Ovis aries: one gene and its partner. Each later gene encodes a partner of the first gene's protein in a complex. Links are inferred from orthologs where the notes say so. Each region holds a gene or a part of one and is shown on either strand. Other genes may lie near its edges. The genes, in order: TERT and DKC1.

Evidence for each region.
Region 2: TERT (region 1) and DKC1 share a complex: the UniProt entries of both Homo sapiens proteins name them as parts of the telomerase holoenzyme complex. The link is inferred for Ovis aries from reciprocal best matches to the Homo sapiens genes TERT and DKC1.

Annotation. Positions count from the first base shown.
Region 1 is NC_056069.1:71,196,968-71,200,768, forward strand, and holds part of TERT (telomerase reverse transcriptase), read left to right. Parts: intron 1-297; coding exon 298-477; intron 478-1,039; coding exon 1,040-1,195; intron 1,196-3,758; coding exon 3,759-3,801. UniProt on the Homo sapiens protein: Telomerase is a ribonucleoprotein enzyme essential for the replication of chromosome termini in most eukaryotes. Active in progenitor and cancer cells. Inactive, or very low activity, in normal somatic cells.
Region 2 is NC_056080.1:81,268,678-81,273,222, reverse strand, and holds the start of DKC1 (H/ACA ribonucleoprotein complex subunit DKC1), read right to left. Parts: upstream 2,814-4,545; 5' UTR 2,728-2,813; coding exon 2,712-2,727; intron 2,080-2,711; coding exon 2,012-2,079; intron 1,566-2,011; coding exon 1,479-1,565; intron 1-1,478.

The DNA of each region.
Region 1 (3,801 bases):
GTCCCCTTGGGGATGACCCCTGGGGCTGTCTGACCCCGAGTCCCCTTGGGGACGGCCCCCGGGGGCTGTCTGACCCTTGGTGTCCCCTTGGGGACGGCCCCCGGGGGCTGTCTGACCCTTGGTGTCCCCTTGGGGACGGTCCCTGGGGCTGTCCGACCCCGAGTCCCCTTGGGGACGGTGCCTGGGGGCTGTCTGACCCTTGGTGTCCCCTTGGGGATGACCCCTGGGGCTGTCTGACCCCGAGTCCCCTTGGCCATAGTTGCTCTGGCGACACTCCCGTCTGGGCTGGGCCCGCAGGTGCAGCATCTCAGCTCGCGGGTCAAGACGCTGTTCGCGGTGCTGAACTACGAGCGAGCTCGGCGTCCCGGCCTCCTGGGGGCCTCGGTGCTGGGCATGGACGACATCCACAGGGCCTGGAGGGCCTTCGTGCTGCCCCTGAGGGCCCGGGGCCCAGCCCCTCCGCTCTACTTCGTCAAGGTGGGCGCCCATCCCCACCCCTGTGGAGAGAGCCAGGGCTGCAGGTGACCCTGTGGGTCTGGTCCAGCTGATGTGGGAAGTGACCGCCTCCTACAGCCCCGTGTGTGCCAGGATGGGTCACCCCTGGTGGGGTCACGTCCATGTTAAACGTGACTCTCAGCTTCTGTGAGCTGCAAGACAGGGGCCCAGCTCCCGGGGCAGAGGCTCTGTGCCTCTGGAGTACTCTGGGAGTGCACCCCACTTCCCCGGGGCTCCTGCCCTCCCTCCAGGGAAGGAGACAGCTGCTCGGACCCTGGGCGGGTTGCCCTGTGTTGTGCCCTGGTCGTCAGGATGCCAGCCTGCAGCTCAGAGAGAGCATGCAGGCCAGTCCGAGGGGTGCTCAGAGTCCAGGGCAAGGGGAGTCTCAGAGAGAGCCCCCGGGGGGCAGGGATGGGGGTACAGGGTCTGCCCATCCCTCATGTTCAACTCACCCCAGTATTGGCTGATGGCAGGTCAGGACAAGCCGGACCCAAAACTCGGGGTTAGGGGTGAACGTGTCCTCAGGCCCCCTGTTCCCACATAGGCGGACGTGGTGGGGGCCTACGATGCCCTCCCCCAGGACAGGCTGGCAGAGGTGATCGCCAACGTGCTGCAGCCGCAGGAGAATACGTACTGCGTGCGCCGCTGCGCCGTGGTCCGCACCGCGCGCGGGCGCGTGTGCAAGTCTTTCAGGAGACACGTAAGAGCCACGGGGCCTGTGCAGTGCCGGGGGCGTGGCCTGCGGGGGCGGGGGGCGCACGCTCGGCACTGTGGAGCCGCGAGGACCACTCTTGCTGGTACTCCCATCCGGTCCGCCCCTGCCCTAGGCCTGACTGCACGTGAGTGGGGGACCCTGGCGGCAGCAGAGCCACACGGGTGTCCCGAGGTGTCCCCACGGCCACAGAGCAGCACCGTGTGTGCCCCGGGGCGGGGGTGGGGGTGAGGGCGGGGCGGGGGGGCGTCCTTCAGCAACTCCGAGGCTGCGCCGCCTTCTGCACGTACGTGCGTCATGGGGTGGGCGGCGGGGCCGCCTCTCCCCCCAACGATGGGGGCCTCAGGCCAGGAAGGGCTGGAAGAGGACGCGGGCGCTGGGTGGACCCCGAGGCCGCGGGGGCTGCTAGCGCTTGTCTCCTGCTCAGAGCAGCGTGTGTACCCGGAGACAGACGTGGGTGGACTCCCGGGAAGCGCTGGGGAGGGCGCACAGGAAACCTGGGCCCAGGCACCGCTGAGCGTGTTTGTGAGTCCAGGGAGTGTGATGCAGGGAGCTTGGGGGGATCTTGGATGTGTGGCACGGGTGGGGCAGCACCCAGAGGACGCCCCCCGGCCCCCCAGGCCTCCTCCTCCGACAGGCAGCAGGCTCACCTGTCTCTAACCTTGTGATGTGAAGCAAGCATGCTCTCCCTCCGGTCCAGTTTCGGGGGTCTGGGGCCCAGTGTGGCGGCCTCCGATGCTACCGGGTGAGGCCTAGCCTTCCGCCGGGTGGGCGTCTGCTGGTTCATGCCTGGATGTGGATCCAGGCGGTTGCCACCAGCCCTGTGATGCGCTGTTTGTGGAGACAAACCCTTGTCCCAAATCCTGTGGGGCCGATTCCAGGCTTGTGTCATTTTAGGAGACATCACCCGAGAGGTGCCAGGTGTGGTCCCGCGGGCCTCAGAGGGTCCAGCGGGCGGTGTTGGGGGCCCGGAAGGGCAGGGCTGCAGCCTGCAGCCAGGCCGCAAGGTGGGACCACACAGGCCCGTCTCTGGGACCAGGTCCAGGGGACCGGGCTCTGGGCACCTCGTGTGTCAGCCGCCCGGCTGGCACGTCCTCTGGGGGCACTGGGGGCGCCCGTCCAGTCTCCCCACGTGGGGCCGTCTGCCTCCTTTGTTGTCTGAGGGGATACGCCCACATTCTCGGGACAAGCCTCTGGGCACTCCTGGATGCTGTCTCAGCCTACCCTGCCTTTGCCGTTGCAAGTGGAGGCTCCGTGAACAGATGCTTTTCACTTTGACGGACCCAGCTTCTCTGCCTGAAACCGTGTTGCGCTTGCGCGGCCCGCCTGCTGTCCGCCTGACCCCTGCTCTGGAAGGACGTTTGTTATCCCAGCTGCCGCATTCAGGCGGGGCCGGTTTATTTTAATTAATTAATTAGGCTGCCCCAGATCTTAGTTCCAGTGTGGGGAATGAGTCCCTGGCCAGGGACCGAACACGGGCCGCTGCTTTGGGAGCTTGGCGTCCTAGCCACTGGGCCGCAGGGAAGTCCCTGGGGCCTGTTTTGAACCAGCTTGTGCACCGATGCTGCGATGTGCCTGTCTCTCCTCCAGTCTGGACTCCGCAGGCCTGTCTTCTGGTTCACGCGTCTGCCCTTCTCTGTCTCTAGTTTTAAACGCATCTAACCAGCCCTTAAGCTGGGCAGCCTGTTTTTCAGGTTTGGTTTTTCTCACAGGTTCCCGGTCTCTGGTTGACTGCCTCAGCTTTGCCTGTTGTGTGAGCAGTGTTATCTTGACTGATTTTAAAAATTCCAGAAACTGGCGCCTCCCCGGCCCGCAGGCAGTCTCCTCCTGTGTCTATCTGTCGTGTGAGAGGTTTTGGTCACACCTGGGCCTGTTTTTCCACAAAGCGCAGACTTTGAACGGGAGCCTTAACGGGTGGGCTTATGAGTCCTCCTCGGCGGGTGGTGTCTCCCCGACAGTGGCGCTGTGACCTGAGTCCTGCAAGGGTTTCTTGCGGACAGCGTGGCGTCTGGCCTGCCCCACTCCCCCTTCCCCGGTGTCCGCTGCAAGGGGCCCCCAGGCCCAGCCCCCTGGCTGCTAGGACTGCGTGCTCAGCTCAGCGTGGCTCCTGGGGTGCCTGAGTGAGGGTCCTTGCTCTGCAAGCCCCCCCGAGACGCCGTCAGTCCCGGCTGCTTCAGTTCAGTCCGGTCCCTCAGTCGTGTCCGACTCTTTGCGACCCCATGGACGGCAGCATGCCAGGCCTCCCTGTCCATCACCAACTCCCCGGAGTTCACCGAAACTCGTTCTTGCTGCTTAGTGGCCCTGAACCCCACAGTCTTTCTGCTCAGTGGATCCCGGCCTTGGGGAGAGGTCAGGGGGGAGGTGGGATGCACCCTGAAAACCAAGACCCCAGCCCGTCTGTGTCCACACCTCCCCGGCGCCCCCGGCGGCCTGGCATTTTCTGCCCGGTCACAGTGGCCGTGGCCAGCCCCCCAGACTCTGACCGCTGTCCTGAACACCATGCTGTCGGGGGTGGGGTGTCCACCCACTTCACCCTGTCCTCGGCCGGCAGGTGTCCACCTTCTCGGACTTTCAGCCGTACCTGAGGCAGCTCG
Region 2 (4,545 bases), on another chromosome or scaffold:
CTAGGCTTCAGCAACACGTGAACTGTGAACTTCCTGATGTTCAAACTGGTTTTAGAAAAGGCAGAGGAACCAGAGATCAAGCTGCCAACATTTGACGGATCATGGAAAAAGCAAGAGAGTTCCAGAAAAACATCTATTTCTGCTTTATTGACTATGGCAAAGCCTTTGACTGTGTGGATCACAATAAACTGTGGAAAATTCTGAAAGAGATGGGAATACAGACCACCTGACCTGCCTCTTGAGAAATCTGTATGCAGGTCAGGAAGCAACAGTTAGAACTGGACATGGAACAACAGACTGACTCCAAATAGGAAAAGGAGTACGTCAAGGCTGTATATTGTCACCCTGCTTATTTAACTTATATGCAGAGTACATCATGAAAAACGCTGGACTGGAAGAAACACAAGCTGGAATCAAGACTGCCGGGAGAAATATTAATAAACTCAGATATGCAGATGACACCACCCTTATGGCAGAAAGTGAGGAGGAACTAAAAAGCCTCTTGATGAAAGTGAAAGAGGAGAGTGAAATGGTAGTTTAAAGCTCAACATTCAGAAAATGAAGATCATGGCATCTGGTCCCATCACTTCATGGGAAATAGATGGGAAACAGTGAAAACAGTGTCAGACTTTATTTTTTGGGGCTCCAAAATCACTGCAGATGGGGATTGCAGCCATGAAATTAAAAGACGCTTACTCCTTGGAAGAAAAGTTATGACCAACCTAGATAGCATATTCAAAAGCAGAGACAGTACTTTGCCAACATAGGTCCGTCTAGTCAAGGCTATGGTTTTTTAAGTAGTCATGTATGGATGTGACAGTTGGACTGTGAGGAAAGCTGAGCACCAAAGAATTGATGCTTTTGAACTGTGGTGTTGGAGAAGACCCTTGGACTGCAAGGAGAACCAACCAGTCCATTCTGAAGGAGATCACCCCTGGGATTTCTTTGGAAGAATGATGCTAAAGCTGAAAATCCAGTACTTTGGCCACCTGGTGCGAAGAGTTGACTCACTGGAAAAGACTGATGTTAGGAGGGATTGGGGGCAGGAGGAGAAAGGGATGACAGAGGATGAGATGCCTGGATGGCATCACTGACTCGATGGACGTGAGTTTGAGTGAATTCCGGGAGTTGGTGATGGACAGGGAGGCCTGGCGTGCTGCGATTCATGGGGTCACAGAGTCGGACACAACTAAGCGACTGAACTGAAGTAGAGAAATTGAGAATTGTTTATAAAATTTGATAGCAGTCTCACATTGTTGCAAAATTTACCTGTATTCCACAAGTGTTGGGTACACTGGAAATTTAAAAGAAAACACAAAAAACAAAAAACCTCGGGTCTTCATCTCAACTACCTTGAGGAACACTGATTTAGGCAGCCTCATCTAGCCTTGCCTAAGTCCAGGATCCATTCTTAATCAACTGTTTAATACTCAGAAACAGTATAAAAGCCAGACATTGAGCTGATGCAAAACACATACCTTTAGCAACAGGGGCCACTGAGACGTGTCCAACTGAGCCACTTTGGATTCAGGTTTGATGAGAAAATCTTCAGCATGTTGTATTTCCTTCCAGAGGACAGAAACACAACTTGTTAAGACTCCCCACTTGAATCTGAACCCTTCCATTACAACCACCAAAGTCTATGCCTGTGCAATAAAAAACAAGGTGTCTATTCCTGTTCACTGAGATCTCCATAGGAAAGAGAAGAAATGAATGAAGAATTGAGAAAAATAAGTGAAGCGGCACCAAGACGGGAATAGCCAATTTAAGAGAAAAGAGGGATAGTGGGTCTGATAAGAAAGACAATTTCAGGGAAAGCAGTCACTGTGGGCAACACCATTTAGCAAAGTGTGCCTGACAGCAGAGACCTAGGCTGGATGGAGCTTTGTAGTTTCTATCTCACGATGACACCCCGTTCCTTCAAAATCTTTAGAAACACTTCTTTTCTGCAATCTGGCCTCTAAGAAACCTTTCTTTTGAGTCGGAGCAGAGTAAAAATATTCCTACTCACCGCCACAGCCTCCTCTGGTAATGATTTTCGCTCCTTTTTCTTCTTGTGTTTCTTCGGCAAAATAAGGACTTAAAAAACACACACAAGAATTGGGAGTTTTCCCCGAAAATCAAGGCGATCGAGTTGAAAATAGAGGACGCATCAGGGCAGCTGAAAAACGGCCGTCTGGTATAGGCTCGTAGGGAAAGCGAGGGGGGTCAGGCCAGTGCCCGGAGCGGCCGGGCGGGCTCGCGACAGCAGCCGCACGTTTCCCCCTACAGCCCGGTTCACCACGTGGCCGCGCGGGGCTGAAAGGCCCTCAGCCCGCAAGTTCCGTCAGGGACCGTCCGACGGTCCTCAAGGGCTTGGGGCCCCTAGAACTTCTTTTTCGCCTGGGAGCTCCGCGCCCGCCCGAGCCCCTTGGCCCCTTCTCTTCCCTTCCTTGCGCGGCGCTGACCACGGCGGCAGAACGGGGGAGCGCGACCCAGGCCCTGTCGGCGGGAGGCCTGGGCCTCATGGCGTCACGTCACCGCGGGGGCCTCTCAATCTCTCGCCCTCACCCCGTGGAGCCAAGGCCAAGCGACAAGGTCGGCAGGAGGCGCGGCGGCTGGAGCCAGCGGACAGTTCTAGCCTCGATGTCTGCCACCCCCCACCCCCGGCTCCCCCCGTCGGAGGTCGCGACCCGGGCCCGGCCTGCTAGCCACCGGAGAACCGCCCTCACCTTCCGCGTCCGCCATGTTGCCCCGCTGAGCTCGCGAGCCGCGTGGGCCACCACCGCCAAGGAAGCGCCTGCAGGCTCCCGCCGCCGTCAGGCTGCGCCGCTAGGCCCCGCCCACCTGTGCGCCGCCCCGTGCGTGTCGTGCAGAGGGGCGGGGCGAGGCGGCGCGGAGTCCCCGGCGCGCGCCTGCCGGCCGCACCATCTCATTGGCGGCCGCGGCGGCCCGCGCTCGCACCGCCGCGCGGGCGCCTTGGGCTTCGCCCCGCCTTCAGCGGGCCGGCCGGGGAACGCCTGCGCAGCCCACCTGGGCGGGGCTTAGCTGTGGGCGTGGCCGGGCGAATGTCTAGTCTTTCTCACCGGTTTTTTTTTTTAAGTGAAACTTGGGCCCACCAGTTCATTCTAAAGGAGATCAGCCCTGGGTGTTCTTTGGAAGGAATGATGCTAAAACTGAAACTCCAGTACTTTGGCCACCTCATGCGAAGAGTTGACTGGTTGGAAAAGACTCTGATGCTGAGAGGGATTTGGGGCAGGAGGAGAAGGGGGCGACAGAGGATGAGATGGCTGGATGGCATCACTGACTCTATGGACAGTAGTCTGACTGAACTCCAGGAGTTGGTGATGGACAGGGAGGCCTGGCGTGCTGTGATTCATGGGGTCGCAAAGAGTCGGACATGACTGAGTGACTGACCTGAACTGAACTGGGCACCTGGGCACGTGTCTCAGCTTTCCTTGCTTCCCCACCCCTGACCCTTCAAGGTGGCTGTCGGATCAGTCCCGATGCCAAAGTGAAGACAGACGTCGAGGCACATAGAGCTTTGCAGCTTCTAATTTTCATCCTGCTAGAGCGGCACTGCCCAATAGAAACAGAGTGCGAGTCCCTTGTGGACTTTTAAATTTTCCAACATCCACTTGAAAAAAAAAAAAAAGCAAAGTAGAAGGTTACATCGGTTTCAGTAACAGACTGTGTTTAACACAACGATCGGCAATATTATCGTTTCAGCATATAAGCAATGCACAACATTATGAATGACATATTTTACCTTTTTTTTTTTTTCTGTACCAGGTCTTCTGGTGATGCTTTCTGGTCACAGCACAGCTGGATTGCAGCTCCACTACGGGTCTCCTTGGGGTTCCCTTGTGGCTCAGCTGGTAAAGAATCCGCCTGCAATGCAGGATACATTAGTTCGATCACTGGGTGGGGAAGATCCCCTGGAGAAGGGAAAAGCTACCCACTCCAGTATTCTGGCCTGGAGAATTCCATGGGGTCACAAAGAGTCAGACACGACTGAGCGACTGAACTGAATGGGGCTCCAGGTGAAGTGATCAACACTCACAGGTCGCTCACCGCAGCAGTACTGGACTGCCAAGCAACTAGCGGCTCCAGGTTCCAGCTCTTTTCCTTCTTCCTTTCGTTCACTTCTCTTCTCACTCTTAAGTGGAGATTCTTACACCTATCCCCCATAGACTTGATTGATCTGGGGTTATTTCTTTATTGCTGTTGTCAATGGAATTTTTAGCATCATCTTTTCTAACAAGCTGCTACTGACAGAAGAGGACAACTATGGCTCTTCTTCTATTTCCTCCTGTGCCATCCAAAGATTAGGAATTTTTCCATTTTATTTGTGTCTTAAAATATATGCAGTGACAGGTTTCCTCTTTTGGTGATCTAAAATCACTGTGGATGGTGACTGCAGCCATGAAATCAGAAGATGTTTGCTCCTTGGCAGGAAAACCATGACAAACCTAGACAGTGTTGAAAAGCAGAGACATTATTCTGTTGGTATGGTCTTCCCAGTGGTCACATGTGGTTGTGGGAAGTGGAGTGCCGAAGAATTGA